2 linked regions of the Elephas maximus indicus genome follow. The protein of the gene in region 1 purifies or fractionates together with the protein of each later gene. This does not show direct contact. Links are inferred from orthologs where the notes say so. Each region holds a gene or a part of one and is shown on either strand. Other genes may lie near its edges. The genes, in order: ATXN2L and LSM12.

What was found.
Region 2: the proteins of ATXN2L (region 1) and LSM12 purify together in Homo sapiens (affinity purification with mass spectrometry; 4 studies listed by BioGRID and IntAct, with this or other methods). This does not show direct contact. The link is inferred for Elephas maximus indicus from reciprocal best matches to the Homo sapiens genes ATXN2L and LSM12.

The regions. Positions count from the first base shown.
Region 1 is NC_064830.1:88,854,643-88,869,679, reverse strand, and holds the start of ATXN2L (ataxin-2-like protein), read left to right. Parts: upstream 1-9,536; 5' UTR 9,537-9,809; coding exon 9,810-10,105; intron 10,106-10,689; exon of another isoform or gene 10,690-10,991; coding exon of another isoform or gene 10,992-11,113; exon of another isoform or gene 11,114-11,129; intron 11,130-11,142; exon of another isoform or gene 11,143-11,272; coding exon of another isoform or gene 11,273-11,310; exon of another isoform or gene 11,311-11,615; intron 11,616-11,712; coding exon 11,713-11,749; intron 11,750-11,960; coding exon 11,961-12,017; intron 12,018-12,102; coding exon 12,103-12,174; intron 12,175-12,552; coding exon 12,553-12,703; intron 12,704-13,120; coding exon 13,121-13,245; intron 13,246-14,350; coding exon 14,351-14,442; intron 14,443-14,918; coding exon 14,919-15,037. UniProt on the Homo sapiens protein: Involved in the regulation of stress granule and P-body formation.
Region 2 is NC_064837.1:50,607,281-50,622,393, reverse strand, and holds the start of LSM12 (protein LSM12), read left to right. Parts: upstream 1-9,577; 5' UTR 9,578-9,674; coding exon 9,675-9,798; intron 9,799-11,590; coding exon 11,591-11,724; intron 11,725-15,113. Other genes in the region: HDAC5 (histone deacetylase 5), read left to right, coding at 63-147, 279-444, 527-566; G6PC3 (glucose-6-phosphatase 3), read right to left, coding at 2,760-3,123, 3,345-3,486, 3,677-3,795, 3,972-4,062, 4,473-4,579, 6,420-6,637. UniProt on the Homo sapiens protein: Nicotinic acid adenine dinucleotide phosphate (NAADP) binding protein. Confers NAADP sensitivity to the two pore channel complex (TPCs) by acting as TPC accessory protein necessary for NAADP-evoked Ca(2+) release.

The sequences.
Region 1 (15,037 bases):
AAATCAAGTCAGTGTCTCACACAAAAACCCATATACACCTTGCTACACACTCCCAATTACTCTCCCCCTAATGAGACAGCCTGCTTTCTCCCTCCACTCTCTCTTTTCGTGTCCATTTTGCCAGCTTCTAACCCCCTCCACCCTCTCATCTCCCCTCCAGGCAGGAGATGCCAACATAGTGTCAAGTGTCCACCTGATCCAAGAAGCTTACTCCTCACCAGCATCCCTCTCCAACCCATTGTCCAGTCCAATCCCTGTCTGAAGATGGGACAACTGATTTTTTTTTTTAATAATTTCTACTGTGCTTTAAGTGAAAGTTTACAAATCAAGTCAGTCTCTCACACAAAAACCCATATACACCTTGCTAACCCAGCACCTTGCTACACACTCCCAAATACTCTCCCCCTAATGAAACAGCCTGCTCTCTCCCTCCACTCTCTCTTTTCATGTCCTTTTCACCAGCTTCTAACCCCCTCCACCCTCTCATCTCCCCTCTAGGCAGGAGATGCCAACATAGTCTCAAGTGTCCACCTGATCCAAGAAGCTCACTCCTCACCAGCATCCCTCTCCAACCCATTGTCCTGTCCAATCCATGTCTGAAGACAGACAACTGATTTTTGACAAAGGCACTAAGGGAATGCAAAATTAAAATTAAAAAGGATAACCTTTTCAACAAATGGTGCTGGGATAATTAGATAACCATATGAAACAAACAAAAAGCTCCCACAAAACTTCAATCTGTAACTCACACCATAAAAAAAAAATTTAATTCAAAATAGATCACAGACCTAAACATATAATCTAAAACTATAAAACTTCTAGGAGGAAACATAGGAGAAAGTCTTTGTGACTTTGGTTTAGGCAAAGAATTCTTAGATTTGACACCAAAAGCATAATCCATAAAAGAACAAATCTACAAATTGGATTTCATCAAAATTAAACACTTCTGCTTAGGAGATAAAATAAGCCACAGACTGGGAGAAAATCTTTGCAAAGCATGTATCTAATCTAAGATAAAGAACTCTCAAAACTCAGCAGTAAGAAAACATAGAGAATGAAGAAAACCAAAGACACGAGGAAAACATTAGCCCAAAGGACTAACGAACCACATTAACCAGAGACTCCACCAGCTGGAGCCCAGAAGAACTAGATGGTGCCTGGCTACCACTGCCAACCGCTCTGACAGAGATCACAACAGACAGTCCCAGACAGGAGAAAAATGTGGAAAAGAATTCAAATTCATGAAAAAAGACAAGACTCACTGGTCTGACAAAGGCTGGAGTAACCCCCAAGACTATGGCCCTCGGACATACTGCTAACTCAGAACTTAAACCACTCCCAGAGCCAACTTTTCAGACAAAGACCAGACAGGCCTATAAAACAAAAAATAACACACATGAAGCACACGGCTTTGTTCAACCAAATATACGAGACCAAATGGGCAACTCCTGTCCAAAAGTAAGAGGAGAAAGCAGGAAGGGACAGGAACTGGATGAATGGACACAGGGAATCCGGGGTGGAAAGGGGGAGCATGATGTCACATTGTGGGAATTGCAACCAACATCGCAAAGCAATATGTGTATAAATTTTTGAATGAGAAAATAACTTGAGCTGTAAACCTTCAAGCACAATAAAATTAAAAAAAAAAAGTTAAAATATGGGTAAAAAATCTGAACAGACACTTCACGAAAGAAGATATATGGATGGGAAATAAATAGATGAGAAAATGGTTTAAATGCAAATTGAAATCACAACGAGATACCACTGTACACGTATCAGAATTGCAAAAAGACTGACCATGCCAAGTGTTGGCAAGAACGTGGAGCAACTGCAACTCTCATACATTGCAGGTGGGAATGTAAAATAGCACAATCACTTGGGAAAATGGCTTGGCAGTTTCTTAAAAAGTCAAACACACACCTACCATAGGATCCAGCATTCTAGTTTTAGATATTTACCCATAAGTAAAGGAAATATATATCCATGAAAGACTTGTTCATGGATGTTCATAGCAGCTTTATTTGTAATGGCCAAAAAACTCGAAGCAATCCAAATGTCCAACAGGTGAACAGATAAACCAACAGTGATATACCCTTGATATAGAAGACTACTCAGCAATAAAAAGAACTGTTGATATGTGCAACAACATGGATGAATCTCAAAATAATTATGCCGAGTGAAAGAAACCAGACCAAAATAAAAGTACATACTATATTATTCCATATAAGTAAAACTCTAGAACGTTATATGTGACTTCTACCTAAAAGAAAACAAACTTTAAACATTGAGCTCTACCTTGAAGTATTTAGAAGCGTACTGTGTATGCAGTTTATTTTGAAAGGCATCCAAAGTCTGTTTGATTAATGAGCTATGTGATAAAGCAAGTATAGTAAAACGTTAACAGTAGAATCCGGTTGGCAGGTATTCAGATGTTCCCTATAAAATTCTGTACTTTTGAAAACGTTCATAATAAAATTTGGAGGAAAAAGGCTAGAGGTATGGGTTTGCATGTTACTTTTTCTTGGTTTACTATAAAATGTGTGTAACAAAACACTTGCTACTTTAACCATTTTTAAGTGTATAACTCAGTGGCATTAATTACATATGCCTGATTTTTTGAGATAACCATAGGATCCAAGTGGAGGTGTCAAGTAGGCAGTTGGATAGGTCAGGGGATAAGTCGTGATACTACATTACTGAATTACCAGTGTTGGCAAAATCATGATCAGGAGTTGGTAAAACAGCCTGTAGGCCAAATTCAGCCCACTGCCTGTTTTTGCATAGCCTGCCAACTAAGAGGAAACCCTGGTGGTGTAGTGGTTAAGAGCTATGGCTGCTAACCAAAAGGTTGTTAGTTCAAATCCACCAGGCAATCCTTGGGAACCCTATGGGGCAGTTCTACTCTATCCATAGGGTCACTATGAGTTGGAATCAACTCGAAGGCAATGGGTTTGGTTTTTGGTTTGGTGAACTAAGAATGGTTTTTACAATTTTAATTGGCTGAAAAAAAATCAAAAGAATATTTTATGACATGTAAAAATGATGTGAAAATCAAATTTTTAAAAATTTTATTGGAATAGAGCCATGCCCATTTGCTTGTGTCCTGTCTATGACTACTTTTGAACTTTGACAGCAGAATTAGGCAGTTGCGACAGACTGTATGGGGTGGTACTCTCATTGCTTCACATTGCTGCTTGTGATGCTACAAATCACAGTGACAGTTTAACCAGACATGAGTTTCAAATGCCACGTGTATCATCATACTATGACTTTTTTAAAAATAATTACCAGTACATACCTATCATGTCAAGTAAGAAAAATGACAGCCAAGTGTGAATTATTTTGTCACTGAATTAGATGGCAAAGCATCATGCTTATTATTCAGTGGCCCTAGAACTCTGCAATGTACACTGACATTACCAGGCCCACCATATTCCTAACTTAGAGAAATGCAACAGTCAGAAAAATTAGAAAATTTAAAGTAGAATATTTCAGTATAGCAGAATATTTTTCACAAAAACAAACAAAAAAATGAAAGTGAGGCTGCAACCAAAGTCCATTTTGGAGTGGCTTACTTGCTAGCTGAGCAAGGAAAGCCCTTTACTGATGGGGAGTTAATTGAACTGTATTTTTTTGCAGTAGCTGAAGAAACGTGTCCAGAAAAAATAAACTTGTTTAAGACTATGAGCTGTAAAGTGAAACAGCTGAACAAATTTTTCAGGCAATCTGGAGCAACATCAACAGTCAACCAAAAACAAGACAAATGCTTTCCAGTGGTTTTCCTCGGCCCTTTGAACAGATATTACCAATGCGTTGTTAGCTGCTGTTGAGTGATTCCACTCATAGTGACCCTAAGTATACGCAGAGAAGAACTGCTCCATAGGGTTTTCAAAGCTGTGGCCTTTCGGGAAGCAGGTCGCCAGGCCTTCCGAGGTGCCTCTGAGAGGATTTGAATTGCCAACCTTCTGGCTAGTAGTTGAGTGCTTAACTGTTTGTGCTACCAGGGACTCCTCCTCAGAGTCGAGGGGAGGTAATATCGATAGGTTTATGTGCGACCTAGGGGAGGAAGGAAGGGGGGAGACAAGTGATTGAGTGGAAAAGGATGGGATTCTGGGGACCTGTGCCTGGAGTCCCATTAGGAGGAAAATGAGAAACGAGATGGAAGATAAGCTCAGGAATGGAACTCATTAACCAAACTAATTGGAAAGGCAGAGGTAGGGTGCTCCCACCTTCCTCGGAAGGACTGAAGCAGCTCCATGTACCGTATTGGGATGGCAAAGATGTTTGTTAGCAGAGGAAGGACCACAGCAGGAGCCGCTTTGGAAAGAATCCAGCTGCAGGGTTACGCTCTAACTGGTGAAGGAGAACAGCAGATCTTGGAGTTCGTCCAACCCAACAGCTGCAAAAGTGCATTGTTTGGCCCACAAGATGTTCAAAAAATCCAAACTTCTAGTTTCTCAAATCTGGACTTCTGGCTCCTAAGAAATCATCTCTGGCAACACTGGAGCACACCCCTACCTGGCAAGAGTTGGCTGGAAGTGAAGAGCAGACCCCTTTTTAGATAGTTTGCCACAGTGCCTGCTTGTTTTACCTGCCTGGCCTCATGGGCATCTGAGTTTGGGCCCCCATCTAATCCAGCCTCTCCTGTTACAAACTGAGACAGAGGCCCAGCGACTTGCTAGTTGGTACAGCTAGTAAGAGACAAAGGCAGAACGAGAATTCTTGTCTTCTAGGACGCAACCCTGTGTCTTTTCTGCTACCTCCTGCAGCCTCTCCGTAGGCAATGCTCAGTCCCTTAAAAAAACAAAACAAACCCATTGCCATCGAGTCAATTCCGACTCACAGCAACCCTACAGAACAGAGTAGAACTGCCCCGTAGTTTCCAAGGAGCACCTGGTGGATTTAAACTGCCGACCTTTTGGTTAGCAACCGTAGCTCAGGCCCTTAGGAAGGGAAAATGTCCCTGTAGGATATGTGACAGGGGAACATATTTAGGTCAGCCTTCATCATAATGAATGCCTCATCTGCCCTGCAGCCACTCTTATATGTCTAGGTAAGTAAGGAATATAGCCAAATGAAGTCCTGGTATCACTGGAGGCTCAACCTGGTGTTACTGCTCAATACACTTAAAAAAAAAAATGCACAGAACACTGGGGAACAGTCTAGGGGTACTCTTGAGGGCTAAAACTGCTCAGCTAACTTATCATGTTTGTGGTTGATATTGACATATGTGTGCATGTATATATATATACATACTCACATATGTACAGATATTGATATAAATATGTTTAGGTGGTTTATTTACTTATGTGTAATTTATTTTGCAAGTAATTGCAAACTTAAAAATTAAGGCAAAGATACTGTTTACCTAGATTCATCAATAGTTAATGTTTTGCCACATTTGTTTTTTCGTTCTGTGTGTGTGTGTGTATAAAACCATTGAAGAACAGGCTGAATATATTATGTTCCTTTATTCCATAAAAATTCAGTACATATTTTCTAATAATATACATATCTACAGTTACATTCAGGAAATTTATCATAGATCCAATAGTTTATAGTCTATATTCCAAATTTGCCAGTGGAAAATTTACATCCTTTATAGCAATCTTTTTCTATTACGCAATCTAGGCCAGGATCAAGTGTTTCGTTTAGCTATTAGCCACTTAAGCCTCCTTCAATCTGGAAGAGTTCCTCTACCTTTGTCTCTCGTGCCACGGGCGTTTTTGAAGAACGTCCATCTGTTTTCTCTAGTGTGTGTGCCTTCCTTTTACGTATGTAAGCATGTATGTTTATACCTATTAACAGCATGGATGCACAGATTCTTCTTTTATTCAGTGGGTTATGATCTATTACTTTCCTTATTTTGATGCACAATTTGTCCCAGGTTTGGCCAGTGAAAACCTCTTCAAGCTGGCTCCTATGTCTCTTTGATCTCCTTATCACTTTTTTTTTTAAGTACTTGTTTTCTGCCACAAGATGTTCCAAACTCATCTTGTACCTTCCTTACTTCTGCCCTGGAATCAACCATTTCTTCAAGGAGCTCTGAGTCCTTTTATTGAAAAATACTATTTGGAAAGCAAGATCTGGACACTAGATATGAATGCGAATGTATTATGTGTATATATATGTATATAGAAACCCTGGTGGCATAGTGGTTAAGAGCTACAGCTGCTAACCAAAGGCTGGCAGTTCAAATCCACCAGGTGGTCCTTGGAAACTGTGTGCGCCAGTTTCTACTCTGTCCTGTAGAGTTGCTATGAGTTGGAATGGACTTAGCAGCAATGGGTTTGGGTTCCTTTTTTTTTTTCTTCCCCACTGAGAACCCTGGCTCCCAACAACACTCATGTGCTCAGTTCTACAATACCCCAAAATAGTTTCAGAACTGCCATGACTTTATCACTGTAACTAGAGTTGAGGTTTTTTGCAGTTATTTTTCCTTTAGGCTGAAGACACTTGAAGAGCTACTTGAATTAGTTCTATTTTTCTCCCTTCAATGTGGTTATTTTCTTCATCTGAGATATAGTTGGGTTCATTTGTTTACATCTGTACTCAGTGTTTAGCCTCCCATCCTTATTGATCTCATTTTTTTAATATGTTGACTGTGCTATGATCTGAAAAGTCAAAACTATACGAAAAGGTATACTGAAAGAAGTGTCCCTTCCCCTGGCCACCCCCCATCGGAGCTCTGTTGTCTTCTTCCAAAAGAAGAGTGTAACCCAGTAACCAAGGAACCCCCATTTTTCCCTATCCTAACAGGTAACCAATTTTATTAGTTTCTGGGTTATTCTTCCTCTATTTCTCTTTGCAAAAATTTGCGGATACATTTATTTCCTTCTCTTGTTCCTCATACCATAGTTTCTACTCTTTTGAACTTTGCTTTTCTCAATTAACAATATATCCTGGCAATCGCTCCATATCAAATCATAGTCATATAGTTTTTTAATTCATACAAGAAAACAACATTCCAGTCATTTACCAATTTGTCGATTGGGTGACAGCCACTGACCTTGGCACAAGGGATCTAGAAATGAGTAAAATACAGTCCCTGCCCTTCATGATCCCAATGGAAAGGAGACACACATATATAAACAAAACCAATATGGTGCTCTGGACGTCCAGAGGAAGGAGTAAATAACAGGATGTCTGAAAAGGTGACACTCCAACTTAAGAATAAAAAACTAGAGAATTGAAACGGGAATTCTAGGTGAAGAAACAACACATGTAAAGGCAGGGCTGAATAAGGGCAAGACATATTGTGGAAAGGGAGCCCCAGTGGCACAGTGATTAAGCACTCAGGTGCTAAACAAAAGGTTGGTGGTTTGAACCCACCAGTAGCTCTGCAGAAGAAAAGACCTGGGGATCTGGCCCATAAAGATTACAATCTAGGAAACCCTACGGGGCAATTCTACTCTGTCCTACAGGGTCCACTACAAGTCAGAATGGACTCCATGGCAATGGGTTATGTTATGGAAATGAAAGTTTAATTAGAATCTGAGGGGGAGGGGCAGGAGCACTGAAGAGGTAGCATGGTACCAGATAGTGCAGGTAATGCCAGGAAAAAGCTAGACTGTATTACTTAGGCACCCAGGAGAATGAAGGTCTTTAAGATACGACTTGGAAACATTTACCTCACAAATATTTAATTGACTGCCTGCATCGTGCTAGGTAGTGCAGAGAGGGCAGTAAGAATCAAGATCCCAACCTTTAGGGAGCTGACACTTGCAGGAAGACATAATTAAATGAGCTATCAGAATAAAGTGGCCACGCACACAGAACGGGAACCTAACCCACTGGAAATTGGGGTGAGACTGAGGTGAGAGAAGACTTCCCAAAGAGACCCAAAAAGCCCAGTGCCAGAGAAGGGCTGCCTTTTAACTGGGAGGCAGGAGGGGAGGAGAGCTGGAAGAGTTCTAACGCTAATAATGCCTGGAGCAAAAAGAGATTCAATCCTCACTGTCGAGTTGATTCCAACTCATAGCCACCCTATAGGACAGAGTAGAACTAGCCCATAGGGTTTAAAGAGAGATTAAGACATGAGAAATTTCACTGGATAAGACCACATGCCCATCACTTCTCCATTCCATTCTCCACATTGCAAATCTGACCTCTTCATTTTCTAAAAAAAGCCCCACCCCACTTCATTGAAGATCAAGTGGGGGCCTTTAGAATCTGGTCCCAGGTTGCCTACCTCGTGTCTCTATTTTTTAACCTCTTCTTCTAATTTTATGCTCCAAACCTACTGCCGCTGAGTCAATTCTGACTCATAGCATCCCTATAGGTCAGAATAGAACTGCCCCATGGAGTTTTCAAAGAGCGCCTGGTGGATATGAACTGCTGACCTTTTGGTTTGCAGCTAACCACGTATACCACCAGGGTTTCCATTCCAGCCATGCTGAATTTTTCTGTTTGTCACATTCATTTCCCACTGCCTAAAAATTCATCTCTCTACTGTCTTTTCAATTTTGATGCCACGGAACACTGGATTCGGTGTCACCTCTATCTGTTCTCACAGTGCCCTGTACTTCATCTAACAGATCTCATCTAATTGCGTGAATCCACAAACAGCTCGAACTCCTCGAGGGCAAAACTAAAGCCAAACCCACTGCCTTCGAGTAGATTCCAACTCATAGTAACCCTGTAAGACAGAGTGGAACTGCCCGGTAGGGTTTCCAAGGCTGTAAATCTTACGGAAGAAGACTTCCATGTCTTTCTCTGCTGGTGGGTTCCAACTGCCGACCTTTTTGGTTAGCACGGCTGAGCGCTTTAACCACTGCACCACCAGAGCTCCTTCCCTGGGGGTAGGAAGTGGTTTACTTATCGCTGTATCCAAATGTCCTAAAGCCCAACTAATTTTGAATGAATGAATGCTGGCTTTATCAGAGTTGGGGGGAGGGTTTTGAACTAGACCGTAAGAACCTCGGCCCCGAGATAATGGAAATTTCTTAAATTTAAGATTTATGATTAGGCTAATCTGCAAAGGCCAGTACGATAAACTCGGACACTTCAATCCTCTTCAGTCTTCTATTTAAAGCAGGTAAGGTCCAAAGTAGCTCCTCACAAAACCTACCACCTGCTTAAAGGAGTAGAACCCTTGGCTTAGCCAATTCCGGGGATCTTTTTGCATTTAGACTCCACCCACTAGCCCCAGAATGGCGGAAGAATCGAACGATACGTGGTACCTCCTCACACAAATGCGGAGGCATCCCGACGTTACGCCGGCGGCGTAGGCGGGGCGACCGGTTCTTCCTCTCCGCTTCCTCGGCCCCTCCCCCGGCGCTCACACGGTCATTGTGAAGCGACAGCCGCTGCCAGTTTCTAGGGCTGTTTCAGACCTAGAGACTTTAAATTCTTGGCGCGTGTGAGCGCCCGCGCTGCTCCTTTCCCACTCCAAAGGCTAAGGGCGCGAAATTCACTTAATTTTATTTTCCCTCCTCACCCACCTGGAGCTAACCGCCCCGGTGCGCGCCGGCATTCGCGCCACCTCTCCCTCCTCCCCGCCCCTCCCCCTTCGAGAGCTCTCACCCGCGCGCTCCCCCCTTTCCCGGCGACGCGCACGCGCGCCAGGCCGGCTCGCGCCCTCTCGGTTTCCTACAGCCCGCGAGACCCCCTCCCCTTCCGCCTCGCGGCGCTTCCTCGCGCCGCGGTCTTCTCTATCCACCCCCGACACCGCGGGGCTCCCCCCGCCCGCCAACGGCGGGTCCCCAGCATCCCAACCCCCCTCGCTTCCCGCGCCCTCCGGCAGGGGCCTAGTCCCGGCCCCCTCGCTCCTTCCCTTCCCCCTGATTCCCCTTCCGGACGCTGCCATCATGTTGAAGCCTCAGCCGCCACAACAGACTTCCCAGCCCCAGCAGCCGCCCCCCACGCAACAGGCCGTGGCCCGCCGGCCTCCCGGGGGCACCAGCCCTCCCAACGGCAGCCTCCCGGGGCCGCTGGCCTCCACCTCGACTTCCCCAGGGCCTCCCGCGGCCGCTTCCCCTTGCCTGGGGCCCGGAGCCGCTGCAGGGAGCGGGCTGCGCCGGGGAGCCGAGAGCATCTTGGCGCCGCAACCGCCGCCGCCGCAGCATCAAGAGAGGCCAGGGGCAGCTACCATCGGCACCTCCAGGTGAGGAGGGGTGGGCTTCCGGGCGGGGGAGCAGAGGCTACCAGGAGGAGGCGGCGGCTCTGTTCCGGCCCGGCGGCCGGGGCCTGAGTACAGCGGTGTGGGGCGGGCCCCAACGTGACCACCTATGGACGGCACCGGGGGGAGCGAGAGGCCCCCCGTGAAGATGGGGGTGGGTACCCTCAGGTCCTAACAGGTCGGAGGAAAAGGGTCCCCGGGCAGCCATGGGACATTTGGGGGCCAGGCTGAGCTTTCAAGGCCTAGGCAGGGTTCGGGACTCGGGCTTTCAGGGGAAGCGGGGCGCACCTCTCCAGCACCGCCGAATCGGGGAGTTGCGGGGGGGAGAAAAGGTGAGCGGGGTCCCCGGCTCCATTACCACGGAGGGTCTCGCGGTCCCGGGCTTCAGCCAATGGGGAGTCAGCTGCGGGAAGGGGTCCCCGGCCGTAGCCAATGGAGGGGGGCGCGCGGCCCACAGTTTGGCCAATAGGGAGGGAAGGACTTGGGAGCGGGTTGCTACCTCCCCCTTCCCGGTCTGGCCAGTAGGAGGGGAGCGGGGAGGGCGGGGGGACGGAAGGAGGGAGGTCTGGGAGGGCTGCGGGCCGGGAACCTCCGCCGCGCGCGCGCTTTTGCCGTACGTGCGCGCGGATGCACTGTCTCTTGACCCGGGCATTCGTGTGTCCGGGGCAACATATTGGGCAGAAGCTGGGCGTGTGCCTGGAGGGGTACTGGAGGCCCCACTCGGTTTCTCTCCCTCTCGGTCTCTCTTTTTAATGGAATTGAGGGTGGTGGTACACGCAGGCGCAGTGGGTTCTGGTCACGGGAGGGGGCGTTTCGAAGAGGCCCGTGGGCTTGAGAGCGCAGGCGCAGACCGGGCGAGGCCTCCCGGTGGATGGCTTTTGCGGCTGCGCTGTCCCCCAGCCCCGCCAACGGCCCCCTCATCGCCCTCAATCGCCGGTTACATCAGCCATCGAGGAGCGGGGTTACCGAGGGATTGGTGACCTGTCCGAGTTGGTAATAGGCTGAATGGGTAATGAGGTCTAGGGGGTGAGGTGTGGAGGGGCTTTCCTCTCAGGGCTTGGGGTGTGAGGCTGCTGAAAATGATTGTCTTTTCTATTTGGAAAGTAATGTGTCTGAGGTGCGTGTAGGTACTACCAAATCTACCTACTGAAAATGATTGTCTTTTCTATTTGGGAAGTAATGTGTCTGAGGTAGGTACTACCAAATCTACCTAAGTCTTGCCTTTATATCTGGGATGGGTTATTGGTTATCGAATACTGTAGCGTTGTCTGTTGGAAGCATGCAGCCCTCTGCCCCTGGGAGAAAGTGAGGAGGTTGTGTTGAATTGGCTCTTCAGACCAATGACAATTATTCCCGATTATGGTTTATTTTACTGGAATTTGGAGGCAGCGTATTTACTGGCTCTTGATGCTTACTGTTGTTTTCCCCTATAAGGTGAGAATTTGAACATCTTGTTGGTAAATTGGTTTGTAGCCTAAATCAGCATCTTCATTTGGTATGTGTTTCTAGGATATTAAGTGCTTTGAGGTTAATGTTGTAAAGGAAAATTAAAAAGATTTAAATAACCAATTTTTTTATCCTTTCCCTTTTAGGGGACAGAGCACAGGAAAAGGACCCCCACAGTCACCAGTGAGTACGTTTATCTCTCCCTAAGATATGAGGACCTAAAAGCCGCTCACATGGGGTATAGGGGAGATTAGGTACAGAGGTAGAGGGGCTGAGAAGGACCGGAGACCCAGCACACACAAGGTGGGGGTGAGTGGAGCCTGGGCATTTAAAAGGAAAGTGAAACATTGACTGACCGACCACTTCTTATTTCTCCCTCTTTTGTCGCTGACAGGTGTTTGAGGGTGTTTACAACAATTACAGAATGTTACATTTCCTTACAGCTGTTGTGGTAAGTGGGTACTTAACCCCTAGGTTGTTTAAGACGGTTAGGACTCAATTTGCTAGAGACATTCTTATTTTTCTCATTCTCCTAGGGCTCTACTTGTGATGTAAAGGTGAAAAATGGGACCACCTATGAGGGTATCTTCAAGACTTTGAGCTCAAAGGTCAGTGTACTCGAATCAGCTTATTTTTGGACTTTGCTGGAAGAGGAGAATGGAATAGATTTATCAAAGGCATTGGATTGGGTGGTATTGGTCAACATTATGGGTGTTACTCATTATGTAGGTCTATGCCAGGGTAATACTACAAGTGGTAATAAAAGACGTGGGTCTGAATAAACATGGGCTCTTCTGTTGTTAAAAAGCATGAATTTTAGAATGTCAGATGTTTAAATTTGAGACTTTTGTTAGGCCTTCGGGTGGTGTTGAGAAGGCAGTGTACATGGGGTACTTTTGGAAAGAGTAAAGGGAAAATAGTTGTATTTTTGCTTTCACATTTCTTGATACTGACCTTCGGGTGTTGGGGAATGGGGGCTCTTGTAGTTTGAACTAGCAGTAGATGCTGTGCACAGGAAAGCATCTGAGCCAGCAGGTGGCCCTCGTCGGGAAGACATTGTGGACACCATGGTGTTTAAGCCAAGTGATGTCATGCTAGTCCACTTTCGAAATGTTGACTTCAATTATGCTACTAAAGGTATTGTTCTAGATAATTACAGATCCACTTTGTGAGTAGAGGGGAGGAGACGGCAGTTTGGGTGCAGGTGGAACATAATGGTGGCTTCTTTTGTTTTAGTCACTCCTTTTTTTTTCCTGAGGGAGGTGGTTTTTTTGTTGTTCTTGAAAATGTGCCTTTATTTCTAAGATACAGTGGAGTGGTTTCTGACTTGCATTGTAGTTCTTCACATTTTTCCTGCTTAGTTTCAGCTGCTTGCTCATTTCGAACTATTAAGATGAGGTTTTCTGTGCTGCCTTCCTTCCAGGCCTGGCACATAGCACGTATAGTCTAGATTTGGGTTTCTTAAATTTTTCTTTACTCCTGAATGAGTTGTTTTGGGGGGAGGAAGGATATGCAGAATTATCTGATTCCTGATTGTCGAATCTGCCCCCACAGACAAATTCACCGATTCAGCCATTGCCATGAACTCCAAGGTGAACGGGGAGCATAAAGAGAAGGTGCTCCAGCGCTGGGAGGGGGGCGACAGCAACAGTGATGACTACGACCTCGAGTCTGACATGGTAAAGTCTCCCTTCCTAGGAACCTGAGGGCCGGGTGACTCTGGTGCCATAATGTGGGTTGTTAACAGTAAGGACATTCTTAGGGAAACCCGTTGCCATTGAGTCGATACCAACTCATAGCAAGCCTGTAGGGGAAGGGGAGGAAAATCCTTTACTGTTACTCGTTGGCTGTGGTCAGATTCCAAATAAAAAGGTACAGAAAAATCACCAAAATACTCTGTATCTCACTATCTGGGATTGACAGCTATTAATAGTTGCTTCAGATGACTTTATTAACAGATTGCAGGTAAGGCTGAACACCACGTAAATTCATTATGCTTTCTGAGAGCAACTACTTTGATGCAGTTGATATTTCTCTGGCTGATGTTTCACGCTTACGCACGCGTATTCAGGAAAGAATACATTGTTGTTTCGACGTTTAATTTACACAGGTGCTCACTTTTCATGCTTGTCTTTTAAATTTTTCGAGTTGATATATAAATCTAGTGTACGCCTTTTAACTATCGTGTAGCGCTCAATTTATATACATACACATTTATACACACACACCAAACTCTTTATCCTTTACCGTACTGATCGGAGGAGCCCTACTGGAACAGTGGTTAAGCACTCGAATGCTAACCCACCAAATGCTCTGCAGGAGAAAAATTTCTCAGGTCGCCTTTGTAAAGGTTATAGCCATGGAAACCTTACCGGGCGGTTCTGCTTTGTTCTATAGGGTCACTGTGAGTTGGAATCAGCTAGATGGCAGTGGATTTGGTGTTTGGTTTTATTAATTTGTGATTTGTCCATTACTCTATTATTAAAAATAACGCTTTATTAAACTTTCAGAATGTATATCTTTTTGTCCGTGTGGCAGAGCTTCTCTAGGGTAAAAACCTAGAAATGGATTTGTTGGTTCTTAGGGTTTTTCAGTTTTATCAGTTACCGCCAACTCATGCAGCAGTTGGTAGTATCAATTGATAGTCCCACCAGCAGTGTTCCTGTTTTGCCACCCTTGCTTTGGTCACATTTTTAAGTTTTTCAGTTGATGGAAGGAAAATGACACATCATGATTGTTTTCTTTGTGGGTTTAAAATACGTTTCCTTCTCTCCCCCCACCCAGTCCAATGGATGGGATCCCAATGAAATGTTCAAATTCAATGAGGAAACCTACGGTGTAAAGACCACCTATGATAGCAGCCTTTCTTCTTATACGTGAGTATCTTGGTAGTTCCAGGGCGATGCAGTTTAGGGTGTAGGGTTAGTAATAGAAGGCACGAGCCTGTAGGTGGAACATAGCTTTTGCTTATGCTTTTCTGTGTGCCCAGGTTGCCCTCCCCTACTCCTGGTCCGCCTTGTGAACTCCTCCCTTGGAGGTTTTCTCTTACCTTTTCCTGATTTCTAGGGCACCCCATAGGTAGAATTAACTGTTTTCTTTTTCATCTGTGTCTTTCATCGTGAATTTAAAAACACATTTTATGTGTGTTTGTAGCTAAGTGTTTTTCAGACTTGAAGATATACCATGGGACACTGCCAGACTCCAGTGGGCGCCCACTGAATATATGCTTAAATTGTTAAAGGGGTAGGATACTCACATACCTGCACAGGGGATAGAACTGACAAGTGTTTTCTCTTTTTCCCCTTTTGTCCCCTGGCACTGGGATGCTGGTGGTCTGTGTGGGTTCTCTCAGGGTACCTTTAGAGAAGGACAACTCAGAAGAGTTCCGTCAGCGGGAGCTGCGTGCGGCCCAGTTGGCCCGAGAGATTGAGTCAAGTCCGCAGTACCGCCTGCGGATCGCCATGGAGAATG
Region 2 (15,113 bases), on another chromosome or scaffold:
TTAGAGGGGCAAATGCACCCCTCCACTTCTTACCCTAAGCCTTCTCTTCTTTCTCCCGCCAGTTGCAGCCCTTGGATGAGGCAGTCTTGCAGCAAAAGCCGAACGTCAACGCAGTGACCACACTAGAGAAAGTCATTGAGATCCAGAGTGCGTGGGGATGGCGCAGGGGCCCAACCCTCAGCTTGCAAAGGGCGTAGCACTTGTGGGAGCCCCTGGGCAGGAGATGCAGGTATTGGGGTGGTCTGCCCTCCTTGACCCCCTGCCCTCCCCTCTCACAGGCAAACACTGGAGCTGTGTGCAGAGGTTTGCGGTGGGTTTGGGCTGTTCCCTGCGGGAGGCCCAGGCTGGTGAGTCGGAGGAAGCTGAGACTGTGAGCGCCATGGCCTTGCTGTCGGTGGGAGCTGAGCAGGCCCAGGCTGCTGCCGCCCGGGAGCACAGCCCCAGGTGAGGTCCCTCACCAGCTGTCTGTCCTGGCGTCCCGCCAGTGCCCCCCACTCAGTGCCCTTCCCTGTGTTTGTCCCCACAGGCCAGCAGAGGAGCCCATGGAGCAGGAGCCTGCCCCGTGACACCCTGGCCCCACCCTTCTGGGCTTCATCATTGTGATTTTGTTTATTTTTTCTATTAAAAACAAAAAGTCACACATTCAACAACGTGTGCCGTGTGGGTCTCTCAGCCTTGCCCCTCCTGCTCCTCTAAGCTGCCTCAGGCCTATCCCCCCCGCCCCCCTCCCCAACTGGTCCCCATCTCAGTTCTGGAAGTTTGTTCCTTCCAGGGAGGGTATCCTTTCCAGCCCCTCCCCACATTGTAGCCTACACCTACTTTCCCGCAATCTGTCCTTTTCCCCCTTGGAGCTTGGGGCAGCTCAAGGTGGCATGGAGGCCAGGACAGTGCCCTCAGGTTCTGGGGTCTCCCTGAGGGAGGAGGGAGCAGTAAGTTCGGTGCCGTGGCTCCAGCTGATTTGGGGGGAAATGCCTTAATTCTACCCTCAGGGGAGGGTCTAGAGGGTCCCTATAGTACTAAGGTGTAGGCTGGAGGGGAAGTGGGCCCCACCTTTACCGCTATTGCCTTCCCCTTTCCTCTCCTGGCCTCAGCGCCCAGGGGAGTGCTCATGCCACAGATGTAAGCCTGAGGTCTGCAGGCAGGGCTTTTCCCCTTTCCAGGGGTGGAGTGGAGAAAGTGTATGGGGAGGGATGGGATGGACCCTGGGTTCTGAGGGCCCAGGAGGAGCCGCAGAACCAGGCCTGCTGCCCACCTGACTATTAGCCTCCCTGCCCCTCGGCTGGTACAGCCTGGGGAGGGGAAGAAGGTGGTCCCTGCAGGGGGTGCTCCAGGCTGATGAGAGCCCCCCTGCTGATCAGGACCAGATTTCCCCCAACCATCCGGTGTGCTTCCGCAGAAGGGTCAGCAGTCCTTTGTTTTGAAGCCTGGGGATGGTGAGAGTGAGGTTCTAGAAGAGGCAAGGACAGTGCCAGAACCCAAGAACTCAGGAGTCTGCCCTCAGCTGGAGCTTCCCTCCTTCTGGGCTCCCTTTGCTGGCCTTGACCAAGGAAGCTACGAGCAGGAGAGGGCTGGGCGCTGCCCCTTCTTTCTTAGGAGCCCTGTCTGTGTCCAGGGGCTGGGGGCCCACAAGGCTTCCAGGGAATGCCATCCAGCTGTTAGGAAACCAAAGATGAGAAGTGGCTCCTAGGGGGCTGAGTCTTCCTCCTCCTCCCCAACACCACATACACTTTCTTTCCCCCAATCCCCAGGGCTCCACCAGTCTGTTTACATATTTATTATCCTAATACGGGCTTGAATAGGGTTGAGGGAGCCAGAGGGAGGGGCAGGAGTCCCTTTATGTTGGTTTGTTGTGCGCTGTGTCTTGTGTCTTGTGTGTTACAGATCCTACTGGGGATGGGGCTGGGGCTGGCCCAGTGTACCAGGCTTGCCCATGCGGAGCCCCAGGCGCCAGGCCCCTCACCTCCCTTTCCTGTGGCCAGTCTGGTTCTCATGTAAACCCCCTTGCTTTGTTTCCCTGGATATGGATTTCAGTTAAGTATTTTGTAACCTACTACACTGTATGTCCTTGTGTAAATAAACTTGTTTCTGGCAGTGCCTTCTGGGGCCAGTGTCTCTGTTCTCTGGGCTCCCAAATGGAGTAGAGGTTCTCATTCTCCTGGGCCAAAAAATCTACTCTGCTTTTCCCCAGCCCCTGGACTAGAAGCCAGTTTAGGCAACAGGTAGGATGGGGTAGGGGTGGGGTTCCTGTCCTGTAGCTGAAAGACATGGTCTCACTGCCTGTGGCCACAACATCTCACAGATGTGGCCTAGGCCTGACAGATCACAACTGAACCCAGAGCCCTTCTCTGTCGCTGTGACTCTGCCTCTGTAGAATGAGGATTGCAGAGGGGGCAGCCTGGCCAGGGTCCACCTGCATTCATGCTGGCAAGTTCAGTGGAGAGACAAGAAAGGAATCCAGAAATGTTCAAGGGCTTTATTGGGGCCTCCTTGAGACACCCCTCACAGTGCTGCAGGAACCGCTGGTCTTGCCATTGCTCCTGCTCTTTAGGGGCTTGGGAGGGAAGGCAGGAGAAGACCAGCCTCTCTGGGAGAGAAAAGGCTCTCTTTTGGGGCTAAGACCAGGTGGTGGGAGAAGTTGGGGAAATTCAAAGTAAGCCTGTTGGGAGCTGGACACTCAGAAGGGATGGGGCTGCCTGGAAGGCAGAGGTAGAGGAGTGTTGGCTTTGGGAGGGAAGGTAGTGGAAGGAAGTACTTGGACGTCAGGAAGAATGGATGGCTGGGGCTTCCTGGGCACTGAACAAGTGTACCACCCAGGGCACGAGGGCCAGGACCAGGCATGGCCAGAGGGTGAATTTGAGGAAATTGAAGATGTAGAAGAGGCTGACCTGAGGGGCATGGCCCAGCCAGTCCAGGGGACCTAGCAGCACCACGGCCAGCACAAAACAGGCAATCTTCTGGCCATTTCCCAGGTGTGCCCGCCGTACCTGGGCATAACAGGGAGAGTGCAAGGCAATGCCCAGACCCAGGGCGGCACCTGAATCACGGCTCAGGGAGGCAAAGGGCCGGCTGTCCACATGCAACCACTCAGGTCGCTCACACCACTTGGAAGCTAGGTTGATGGACCTGTGGTGAGGAAGAAACATTCCCCTGGAACCTAGAGGGCCCCGGCTCTTAGCCATCTGCCCTTTGGGGCCCAGCCTCATGTTCTGTGACTCCAGAAGGGTCTATCTTTGTGAATAAGCGGTGTGTCCTTTGTTAGCTACAGTTAACCAGGGACCTACTAGACTAGATCCAGGTGAGGTAGCACAGGCCCTAGCCTGCCCAGTCTTCAAAGAGGGACTTACCAAGAAAGATCCAGGCCCAGTGTAAAGAGGGTCCAATAGATGAGGCTGGCGCCCAGCATGAGAGCCAGCGCAGTCAAACCGTAGAAGCTTAGCTCCCGCTCCGTGGGCACCCGGGGGGTCATCAGCCAGCCCAGGATGACACCTGGGGAAGGGGGTGACATGAGCTTCAAGGAGTTGGGGACGTGACCAGTGAGTTGCGGCTTGGCAGGAGAACACACTGAGACACGAGGGGGACCTCGGGGTTGGCTCTACAGAAGCCAGGGTAAATGCAAAGATTTTGAACTGGTCCTTCCACCACCAAAGGCACCCTCTCAGCCACTCCAGTTGCTTACCAGCTATTAAGCCAGCCAACACCTGGTGTGGAAAATGTGCTAAGATGAAGACCCGAGACAGGCCGACTGCCAAGAGGAAGGTGCAATAAGCCAGGCTAGGCATAATCCGCACCCAGCGGCTGGAAAGAAGAAAGGCAAATGGCTCAGGGGGTGTCCACACAGCATGGCTTCCCTCTACACCCAGGCATGGCATGGGTTGACCAAATGTCCCAGGACCCCCAAAACTCCAGCTCTCAGGCTGCCCTACTGCCATTATCCCTGCTCCCATTGGTGAGCAATGCCAGACAGAGTATACCTGCGGGTCCGAGTGGCCAACTGGGAGGAGACGGTCGTCATTACAGGCCAGAGGGCTGCTCCTGTGATCATGCAGTGTCCAGAAGGGCTACCTGATGGAGAATCCAGAAGCTTGTGGTAAGAGGATGGGGGTGGAACCCAGGTGTCCCTGGTGATATCTTAACACATCTTCCTTCCCCTAGCCAAGATGAGAGCTTCCTTCCAGTACTAGTCCATAGCTCCTTCTGCTCTGAGGGCTTTTTTACTCCCCATCCGCCTCCTTCCCCCATGAGGCCTCTCTCAGGCTTCTGCCTTGGCCTGTGTACAAGGTGGGCAACTGGCACACTGGCATGGGGGCCCTCCTCCTACAACTTGACTCAGTCTTCCTGGGGTTTCTTTGTTTTCAGGGCCAGTGACTGTGAGGCTGGGCATCTGGTGGGGCCACCCAGGCTAAAAAGTACTCTGAAATGCTTACCCAAACCCTAACCATATTGGGAAAGAGAGGAGGGTTGAAGCTTCCCACCTGGACCAGTTTCACATGAAGAGGGGAACTGGTGAACCTGGGCTGGGGCCTGGCTGTAGTACCCAGATTCATGGACCCACCAGAAGGGTCTGTCTCCAAAGAGGAACCTGCAAGAGAATAGATGCAGGACAACATTAAGCACAACACAGGCGGTAGGAGAGAGGGGAGAGTAGCAGAAGGACACCTGAGAGTCCACGGGAGAGGGGAAGAGTCAGAATGGGAACTCTGATTCTCTGCCATTACCCCGCCATGGTTTCCTACCTTGGAACAGGTGAAAGCATGCTATTTTCTAAAAGCAATAGGACACAACAGATTGTGGAGTGTGTGTGTGTTGCAAGTCCAGATCTCCTCATCCACAGAGAGCCCAGGACCTGACACTTCTCTTCCCACTCCCCACCCTAGACTCTCACTAACCCTCCTGCTTCCGTTTTTCTTGGTGCCATATCCCCTCTCTCCATTTCCCAAATTTCATCTTGAATTACCCACACCTGCATTACTTAGGTGAGTGTCTCATGTTTGAAAACGGGAGTGGTGAATGGACAAGGTGGCTGAGAAAGTGTAAGGACAAAAAATTCAAAGTTCCCTGGCTTAGTGGGGGTGGCTTCTTGGCTAGGCCCTGGACAACCACACACTGAAGGCTGCTGTGGCCAGGAGAAAAGATGGGAGCGCAGAAAAGATGCCAGCAGGAAGCTGTGTGCCAGGGAGGGTGTTGCAAGAGGGACCTAACTCCTCCGCAAAAACAACCTAATTTCACATACTAGATGTTCAATACCTACTTAGCCCCTACTTTGTCATGTGGGGGGCATTAGCGCTCCACCAAGGGCTGGAGGTGGGAGGCCTGACGGTTGAGGGAACAGGACAAGAGAGGGAGGCTTATACAGACTCTGAGGAAAGAGAAAGCATAAAGCAAAGGGCAATTAAGCAAGAAGGAAACGATTTGACAATTGCTTTTCCGTTTACAGCAGGAATGCATAGCTACAGAAGAGTGGAAGGGAAAGTAACTATTTTGTTTTTTCAGCAAGTCATTCTTTTTTTTTTCATTCCAGTCCATTCAAGTGTCTCCTATGGACCTCCTTCCCTCCTGCAGAGGGAACAGAGGCTGAGGTGAGGCAAGGTGCTGGCTGCATGCCCAGGGAGAGGCACCACTCTGTTGTGCACCCAAAAGAGAAGAGGTGGCTCAAAAAGATAAGCCCCAAGGGCTGCAGGGCCTCCACCCACTTGCCTGGGATTCTTGGCTTCTAAGTCTCAGTGTGAATAGCCTACTAGTGAATGAAGAGAAAAAGGAAAAAGAGACAGTGTGCCCTGGAAGGCAATGCTTTTCAAACTTTACTGTGCACTGGAATCGCCTGGGTACTTTGTTAATATGCAGATTCTGATAGCGCAGGTCTGGGCTGGGGCCTGATACTCTGCATTTCTAGTAAGCTTTCCAGTGCTGCCTATGTTCTGATTTGCAAGGCTTGTAGCCTTTTCTGGCCTTAGCAGCTCGTGGGATGCCTGGCACAAAGTGTGCTTCTTAAAATTGCGTCAAAGGAATAAATAAGTAGATGAATGAAAAAGCGAGTTTAAACCAGGGCTTTCACCTATTTAAAAATCGCCATAGATGCTGGTTAAAATACAGATCCCTAGCCTCTCCCCCGGAGTTTCTAAATCACTAGGTCTGAGGTGAGGATGGGGTATTTGCATTTTTAACACATTCCTTAAGCGATTTCTCTGATCAGGGATACTGGTCCAAGGGGCGGGCTGGGTGGACACTGAGGTCTGAGTTGAAGATGCTCAAAGAGGAAAAGTCGAGGCCACGGGGTAAGGGTGGGAGGTGTAAAGGCCATGGGTTCACTCTTGGGGGAGGTGCAGGCTTCTGAGGCACCCGCTAGAGAGGTCAGGGCTTGCATAGGAGTCAGGGTCCCCAGGGATGGGGGACCAGGCTGCCAGAGGGCTTCGCTGTCTCACCACTTGAAGACCAGGTTGAGCCATTCAGTGATGAGGCTGATCCAGAGCACCGCGATGCCCACGCGGGGAGAGGTGTAGTAGGCCGCGGGAAAGTAGAACAGGAAGAGGCACTTGGGATCGCCCAGAAAGGTGACCCAGAGCCACAAGTTCTCCAGCCCAGGCATCTGATTCTGCAGCGCCTCGGCCACCGCGATGCCCGCACCCTGCGCCGACTCCATGGCGGCCGGGGCAGGTCGAGCTGGGGCTTGCTCTACCGCGGAAGGCGAGAAGGCCGGGAGACTGTAAAGGGGGTACCGGATGGCCTCCACACCAACCCTCCCGCACCCCAGGCCCCGCCCTCCCCACCGGCGGCCGGCACCCAGGGCCCACCCACTGCCCCGCCCCGGGCAGTTTCAGGCTCGCGCGAGCCGGACCTCTCGCCGGTTTGGTTTCCTTCTGCGCTCTTCCTTGGGCCGTCTCTCTACTGGGCAGCGCAGGGGACAAACCTTTGCGAAGCGTTTCCGCAGGGCCCCACGTGGCTGCCGTTGTGTGCACGTGGACAGGGGGCGTAGAGGCGGCCCCGGCTGCTGTTCTGGGTGATGGGACAGTGTTGGGGATGAGCAATTAAGGGCAAAGGGCAATTGAGAAGGAGATGATTTGACAACTTATTTTCTGTTTACAGTAGGGATGAAACGCTAGCGGAGAAGAGTGGAAGGGAAGGTAACTCCTATTTGTTCTGCTACCCTCCAAAAATAATCCTGCGATCTCTTGGAGAGAGACTTAGGAATACTACCTCCTCCAGAAAGCCAGGCATTCCCGGTCAGCGCTGAAGCGGGACCCTAAATTTGCGTACATGCGTACACAGCAAATCCGTCCACGCCTTTCTCGCTGAGCCCAAGACTCCCGCCCTAATCTATCCGCTATTGACTCGCAAATTCTTATTTACAACCGACAAAGTCACACTTCGTCCCACTTCTAACCTTGCCTCCTGCCATCCACAACCCCGCTGGGCAGATAAACCAGGAGATAGTAACAGTGTAAGAGAGGAGGGGGACACACCCATGACAGAGTTTGTATGGCTTCTCTGGAGGAACACACGGAAAACAGAAATCTCAGCTATTCTGGGTGAGGTCCTGCCTGGGGCGGGCGGGGGGAGGGGGAAGGAGACTGTTGAAATGTCACCTCAGTACTTTCCTACTTAAATAACTTTGTTCTTGGAGAGTTTTCTGATGGGTAGTTGAAAATGAGAGTGTAAATCTGGGTTCTTGGAAAGAGATTAGTTTCACTAATTAAAAAGGTGTGGGGAAACGAGGCTGGATATAACTCTGGATATATACATCTCACTCCCTTGCTAAATGTTTTCCGGTTGTCCCCGGGAGAAAGCCTAAATTTCTTGCAGTCTTTCAAAGTTTGGTGTAGCTCTAGTCTCAACCTTCACCAGCCTGACCCCCGTACTCCCTTGATAATATTTCTGGGTTATTTTCCTTTCCTTGAAATCTCCAAGCTCCCTCCTTTCAGGGGTCCTGACACATGCGGTTTCTTCTGCCTGGACACGGCCACCCTGTTTCCCTGGTGGTCCTTCAGGTCGCAGTTTAGATTTCTCATTTCTTCCAGGAAGCCTGTCATCACAGTGCAATGTAAAAAATGGAGTGAGTTCCCATGGGGGCCTGAGAGCAAGCATGAGAGATGAAAAAGTACTCTGAAAAACACAAGCATGAGGGAGCAGTATTTTTATTTCTATAAGAAGGGATTGTACCAATACACCCAACACAAGAAAGTTGATGCCTGTTTCAGGGCAAGGAAACATTTTTGACTTTTGTTCAGATTAAACCCCTGCGTCGATTAAGTGGGGCCAAAGCTGGCCCTTTGCTTCCTTGTGGGGATAGAGAAAGGTCAACCTGTTGTTCCTCCTAAGTGAGGCTCCAGAATTTTTACGTTGGGGGGCAGGTGAGCTAGGGGAATGCAGTTGGTTTGGGGTGGTTAAAAATATATCTGTGTAGTACCTTACATGAGGTTAAGAAAACAACTGTTTTTGATATCAGATGGAGATTAATGGGGGTGGGACAGAAGCCCCACCCCTCAAAGGCCTCCCCCCATAACTATTACTGCTCCTCACTCCTGCCCTTTGCCTGGCTTGAGACGGGGGAGAGCAAGGAGGGAGATGGGGAAGCGTTGAGTTCCAAGGGTGACGGTCATTCATGGGGGAACTATCATTGATTAAATACCTACTACGTGCCGCCTGAGGCCCTAATGGCACAGTTGTTAAGAGCTCAGGCTGCTTAGCAAAGGTCAGCGGTTGAGCAGTTTGAACCCATCAGCGGGAGAAAGATGTGGCAGTCTGCTTCCCTTAAGATTTACAGTCTTGGAAACCCTTTGGGGCAGTTCTACTGTGTCCTATAGGGTCGTCGGAGTCGACTGGACGGCAGCGGGTTTGGTTTTGGCTTTTAGGTGAATGCGTTTATACACACTATCTCATTTAAGACTTCTTTTTTTTTAACTACTCTGTGAGGTAGGTATTATCTAACACGGTGCAACAGTGAATAACACCGTCTTTGGAAACAGGCCAACTGTGTCCAGCCACTTGCTAGTTGTGTGACCCTGGACAGGTTCAGTTTCTCTAAGACTTGGTTTCTTCATTGTAAAATGGGGATATTGATTCCTACCTCAAAGGGTTGTTGGGATGCTCAATAAGCGATAAAACAGATGCAAATGAAGAAACAGGCTGTAGAGGTTTAGTAATTTGCTGAAGATCATATAAGTAGTATGTGGCCGACCTGGGATTCCGATTCCAGTTTTCTGCTTCTATAGCCAACGTTCTTTGCGCAACCATTTTGTAAATAGGTATAATTATCTTGAGCAACTTTCGTTAAATCCTCATAGCCTTGGATTCCTCACATGTAAATAAAGGTAGTATATATTACTTTATATATAGAGTTCATTCATTAAGCTCTCGCTGTGGGCAAAGTGTGCACATAATGGGGACTGCAGGTCATTCCTGTTCTCGCTGTTTATTCCACGTGGGTCACTTATCTTTAAAGGACCTTACAAACAGTTGCCAACGCGGGCGCCGCTGCAGAAACATTATTCTTCAGATTCCTTTTCATTTCCTCGTTTTTCCTCTTCCACCTAGGCTCCCGCCCCACCCACGCCAGGCCACGCCCAGGCGTGTGACATCAGCACGCCCCGTGCGTCGCGTCGCGGCGCTCACTGGGGGCCCGGCTTTCGCCCGCTGCTGCCGCCGCCGCCGCCGCCGCCGGCCGCGGCTGCTCTCCCAAGATGGCGGCTCCTCCGGGCGAGTACTTCAGCGTTGGGAGCCAGGTGTCGTGCCGGACGTGCCAGGAGCAGCGGCTGCAGGGCGAGGTGGTAGCCTTCGACTACCAGTCCAAAATGCTGGCATTAAGTATCCTTCCTTGCGTGGAGCCCGAGGCCGGGCCGGCGTGTATGTGCGGTGGTGGGGGGGTGGGGGACGACGGCGGCAGCTGGGGCCCTCTCCGGGCCTAGGGGCGACCGGCTACCGCGGCGCCCCGGGCGCATGCGCACGGCCCTGAACTCCCCTCCCCCTCCCGCGGGCCCCCACGGTCCGCTTTGGGCAACCTGTCTCCCAGCCCTTGCGGGAGCTGGGCCCCAAGAGAGGGTTGGTGGGTGGAGAGGGGCTTGACACGCGGATGGCTTTTTGGGGGGAATGCTGTGAGGGGAGACACTGTGATCGGGCAGGGGGTGATGGTAGTGGGAGGGGGCTGGTGAATTGGAGCCCGGATGGAAGGGGGGCGGGTAAGATCATGTGGGGAGGGGGTGTGTAGGGCAAGGAACTGCTAGTGGGGCAAGGGTATGACTGTGAGTTTAGGAGGGGGGCTATTTACTGATGGGATTTGATCCGAGGAAGGGGCGGAGGGGTGGTGAGCAAATGGTCCTTGCTCATTTTGGGGAAGAGTAAGTGCAGGTCAGAGTTTGTATCTGAACTGGGGGTAGTGACTTTTCCTGGTTTGTGTGTATGTGTGATGCCATTGGGATGGGGGCTGCTGACTTTTAGGCTTCTCTGTCATTTGGTAATTGTTTTGTGATGCGCGTATGGGAAATCTGGTGCAGAGGGGGCTTGCCAGGTTTTTCAGGGACTTATGTAGAGATGTGTGGGTTACAGGTGAAAGAGTAAGTTCTTATCTTCTCTTGCTCAGCCCAGTACATGGAGTCCTGACTTTTCCATCATAGTAGCCTCCCCTTTTGGAAGTGACAGTGCTAGAATGAGTGGGAAAAGGTGGCCTGCTTCTTTGGGGTGGAACTGATTTCTGAGTTACTCTTGGAAGTAAAAACACTTCCTGGATGGAATAAATGTGCCACCTTTCCCCCTTTTATTTGAGCTACAGGTGGGTTTGTTTGGGTATATTTGGGGGAGGGGGCAATCTTTTAATCCTGTATGGCATCTTTCAAAATGAAGTTACCTGTTGAGTCTTCTGCCTTTGAGTGGCAAACATTTTCATTCATTTAACCACTAGTTATAGATTTCTAGTTTAGGAAGATGTCCTTTGAAACAGCTGCATACAGCAAAGACAGTTGCTTTTTTTAAAAACAAGAAGTTATACGTGGACCTAATGGGACTCTCTATATTAGTGGTTTAGATGGAAGGATCTTTGAAATGAGGAATAAATCTACTTGCTTTTCATTGGCATACTGTAGGCACTTGGTACATGGTTGGAGAGTGCGCGAATGAATGAATGGAGTAACTAGCTAGGTGAGTTTCCTTTCCAGTGCTGTAGTTTTCTCCTCTGTAAAATGGGAAATATCCAATCTGAAAAAATGAAAAAAAGCATTATGTTATACAGCAAGTATTATACCAAGAACAGAAAATTCTGGCTCTGCCGTCAAGCGGTTCATAAGCTCCAGACAAACAGTATACGTAAGACATAAAAATTGCGTCGTGCTCTCTTTGTGAAGCAGAGGTGACAGAAACCCTTTTGAGGCTTCCCGTTTTTGGTTGTGAGTTTGAAAAGCTCAAAATCCTTTGATTATGGGCTTGGGTGCGAGGAAGAGGCAGAGATTTTTGAGGAGAATAGTAATTGTTGTGAGCCCCCTCCCCAGCTCCCCCGTGGCACACTTTTTTACAAGAACTTTGTGTCAGTTGTGTTTTCCATGCCCCTTTTGGGATGTGTCCGTGCCTCTGCTTGCCCCTATTTTCCTTAACTTTATTTTCTCACCAGAATGTCCTTCTTCAAGTGGAAAGCCCAACCATGCAGACATCTTGCTCATAAACTTACAGTATGTTTCAGAAGTGGAAATAATTAATGACCGAACAGAAACCCCTCCTCCTCTAGCTTCACTCAATGTTAGTAAGGTAAGGACTTGAGGTCAGGTCTGCCTGACCAAAATGGCGGGGAAGATGAGTCTCATAGACTCTTGATGATATGTACATTGTCTGTTGTCTGTTTTTCATTGACTTACAGTCACCTGTTTTGATAGCTTCTTAAAAAAATGTGTCATCTTAGTTTTTGTCTTTATTCTTGGATATCTTCAGCATATCTTAAGAAACATCTCAATGCTCAGACAGAATTGACAGCTTGCTTTGCCATGTGTGAAAGGGGGCTTTTTATTTTTTTTTAACCTGGCGGTGGTCGGGTGGGATGGGGTGGGGCTTTTGCCTGTGAATCTCCTGAAATTATGAGTACATGTGTATGTGTGCACACACGAGTATATGTGTTTCCTAGGTGAGGATCTGGAGTTCTTTTCAGATTCTCAGAGGGATTCACGACCTACAAAAGTTTGAAAACCACTTCCTTAGAGTTTCGTTTGTCTTTATGTTTGAATTTTGAAGTCTAACAAATTTAGATCTTTAGGGTGTTTTAAACCTGAACACACAAATTGATCTCAGAACCCCAAGTCACTTTTTTGGTTCTTCAGCTCCATTAGCCAAAGTTCATGTTGAGCGATTAATAACGCCCGAAGCCTTGTCGTAGCCTGTGCTGTCCCCTGTATTTGGAACACTCTTCCTTCCAGAATGACTGGTGCCATATCCATTAGGACTCACCTTAAATGGCACCCCTTCTAAGAAGTCTTCCCTGATCACCCAGGCTAAAGTAATCTTCCCCTCATTTCTCTCATAGTACCTTGTTCTTCATAGCTAAGGTGACCGTACCTGTTGTCCAAACAGGAACAATTTTGAGTAAAGGGCTATGCTTTCATTTTATGCTGGGACAGCATGTATAGTTCCTTGTGTCTTGGGCAAAGTAGAACCTCACGTCACCCTATCCTGGCCTTTTTCCGAATTATAAGCTCCAGAAGCTCTTTGCTATTGAGTCAATTCTGACTCATAGTGGCTCTATAGGACAGAGTAGAACTGCCCCGTAGGGCTTCCAGGCAGTGGCTGGTGGATTTGAACTGCTGACCTTTTGGTTAGCAGCCATAGTTTTTAACCACTGTGTTACCAGGACTCCTTTTGTAATTATGTTTGTATGTTGCTCGCTTATCTAATATCTGTCCTTGCTGTGCTTTGTCCTACGAGGATGGGACCCATACCTGTTTTGTTCAGTGAATACACAGTGCCTTGTGTTTAATAAATATTCGTTGAGTGCATAAGTTGTGCCTTTGGTTTTAGTAGTGGCTGCAGTTTCTTAAGTCTCTTGTGTTACTGTGGAAGTTTTTCCCTCTGGAGGAGGCGCGTCATAATGTACGTTCTCATACCTCTCTTGGGAATATGGTATGTTCATCACGATTCAGCAAAGCAAGGAAACACTCAGGCAGCTGAAACACTAGAGGGTAATAGGCTAGCAAAACGTAGACTGTAGTTCTACCTTAGACCTGGAACCCCCTTCTTGCCAGATTCCAGGGAAATGGTTTAGTGATAGCTGAGAACAGATTCAGAAGGGTCTTGGGTTTCATATTAAACACTGTTGTCCTTTCCAGGATGTCCTGTTCTTAGAAGCCTATGTTTCCAAAACCCTGGCTTAGTTAGATACCTCCTTACTGAAGTATAGCGCTCTTTGGCTTGTCTTCTGTTAGTTCAAGAGATTTTAAAAGATCTAAGTGAAATACTTTGAGTCCAATATGTTAAGGAGAAAATAGGCTCTAAGTTATCCTTTGATGTTTATAGAGTATGAGAAGCCTGCCACTAAATAGTGAATAGTAAGGAAAGATTATCTGAAAGAGGGATGCTTTTCTCCAATTTAAAAGATAATGGGTTTCTACTCTTGGAAACAACAAATGCCACCATTTATCAGCGAGTGCTTGGAGTGATAGAGGGGTGAGACTGCTAAGTAGGAGCTATTAAGCAATTCCCTTCTACTTCTATAGCTATTTGATCTCAAAGATAAGTAGCTCTTGATTATTTAGTTTGGGGTTAATCTTTGCCTTTAGGGTTTTGCTTTCTGCTGGTTATGTTTTTTAGTTGTTTACTAGTATTGGTAACTAGTTGTTTACCCACTCAGGAAAGTAATAGATTGGGGAATACCAGAATCTTAATTTCTCTTACTTTGTGGCCTGCTTGCCAATTCTGGAAAAAGGTTTGCTGGGAAGAGGAGACAGAAGCTAAAAACTAAAATTAGGTTGAAGGGCTATCTTTGGATTTCATTTTTTCATTCTTTTTCTGCTTGTAGATTTGTTTATGAGTAAGCTGTATGGGTTTTCCCTTGAAACCAACCTTTAAGATGCTTTTTGAGTCCTCTGATTGAGTTAGAATTAGAGATAGCCTACGGGGCTGTCACTGAAAACAGCCAATCTGGGCAGCAATTTACATGTTGCTTGAATGACAGGAAAAGTTCATCTCAGTTAAAAGCTTGGACTTGGGGATTTCTTAAGATGGAGGATGGTTTAAGCATGTGGAAAGGAACTAAAACACTGAGCTCCCTGGAAGAAAACTGCTGAAGCTAGTGCTTCAGACACTTGCATTTTTGGGTAGCACTAGCTGTGCTTCCAGTGAAAGATAACCATTACATGTTGGCTCCTCTTGCTGACCTAGTAAGAGCTCTGCTTAATTAAACCTGTGGATATAAACTGGATATTTGTTTACTCTGGCCCTCCAGGAAATGGAAGGGAGGACCTTTTAAAGGAAACACTTATTCCAGCCCAACTAGGGAAGGTATGGACCAGCAAGTTCTTGGAGATCAGCCTGTTCTGTTGTCGTTTGGCAGCTTACTGCAGGTTAGCAAGTCATCTCTATCCATGGCAGTGGGATAATAGAGGAAGCTTGGAAGGGGACAGTGAGGCTGGAGAAGGGGGAAGTTTTGAATATCATTTTATCTTCTCTAGAGTAATATTGTATCCTGTTTAAAGTGTTCTGAATTTCCTGACCATAAAACAGAAACATTCAAGTAAAAGTCTAAAAGCATATCAAAGCCAGTCATAAATATAATCAGATTATTCACCATTGTTGCGTATTGTTAGTTTACTCTGCCACAGAAGGCTTAAATGTTGTCTGAGGACCAGAGCCCTAATAGCCTCATGGTAGGGTGTTTCTTAATGAGTTCCTTGAATTAAGTCAGCATCCTGTTCTCTGGGTTAGTATTCTCTCAGATGATTTGGGACATGTCAGTATTAACAAGGTCTTTCATGTAGCATTTATCAGACTCTTACTGAAAAATCTATTTTGTGTAAGGCATTGTGGTAAGCTTTGCTGGGAGCTATACCTTACATTTTTATAGAGTTTTAGAGTTTGCAGGGAGATTTGACAACATCTCATTTCATCTTCTTGGCCACCCTTTGTGTTCTTTGGAGTTTTTTTTTTTTTAGTTT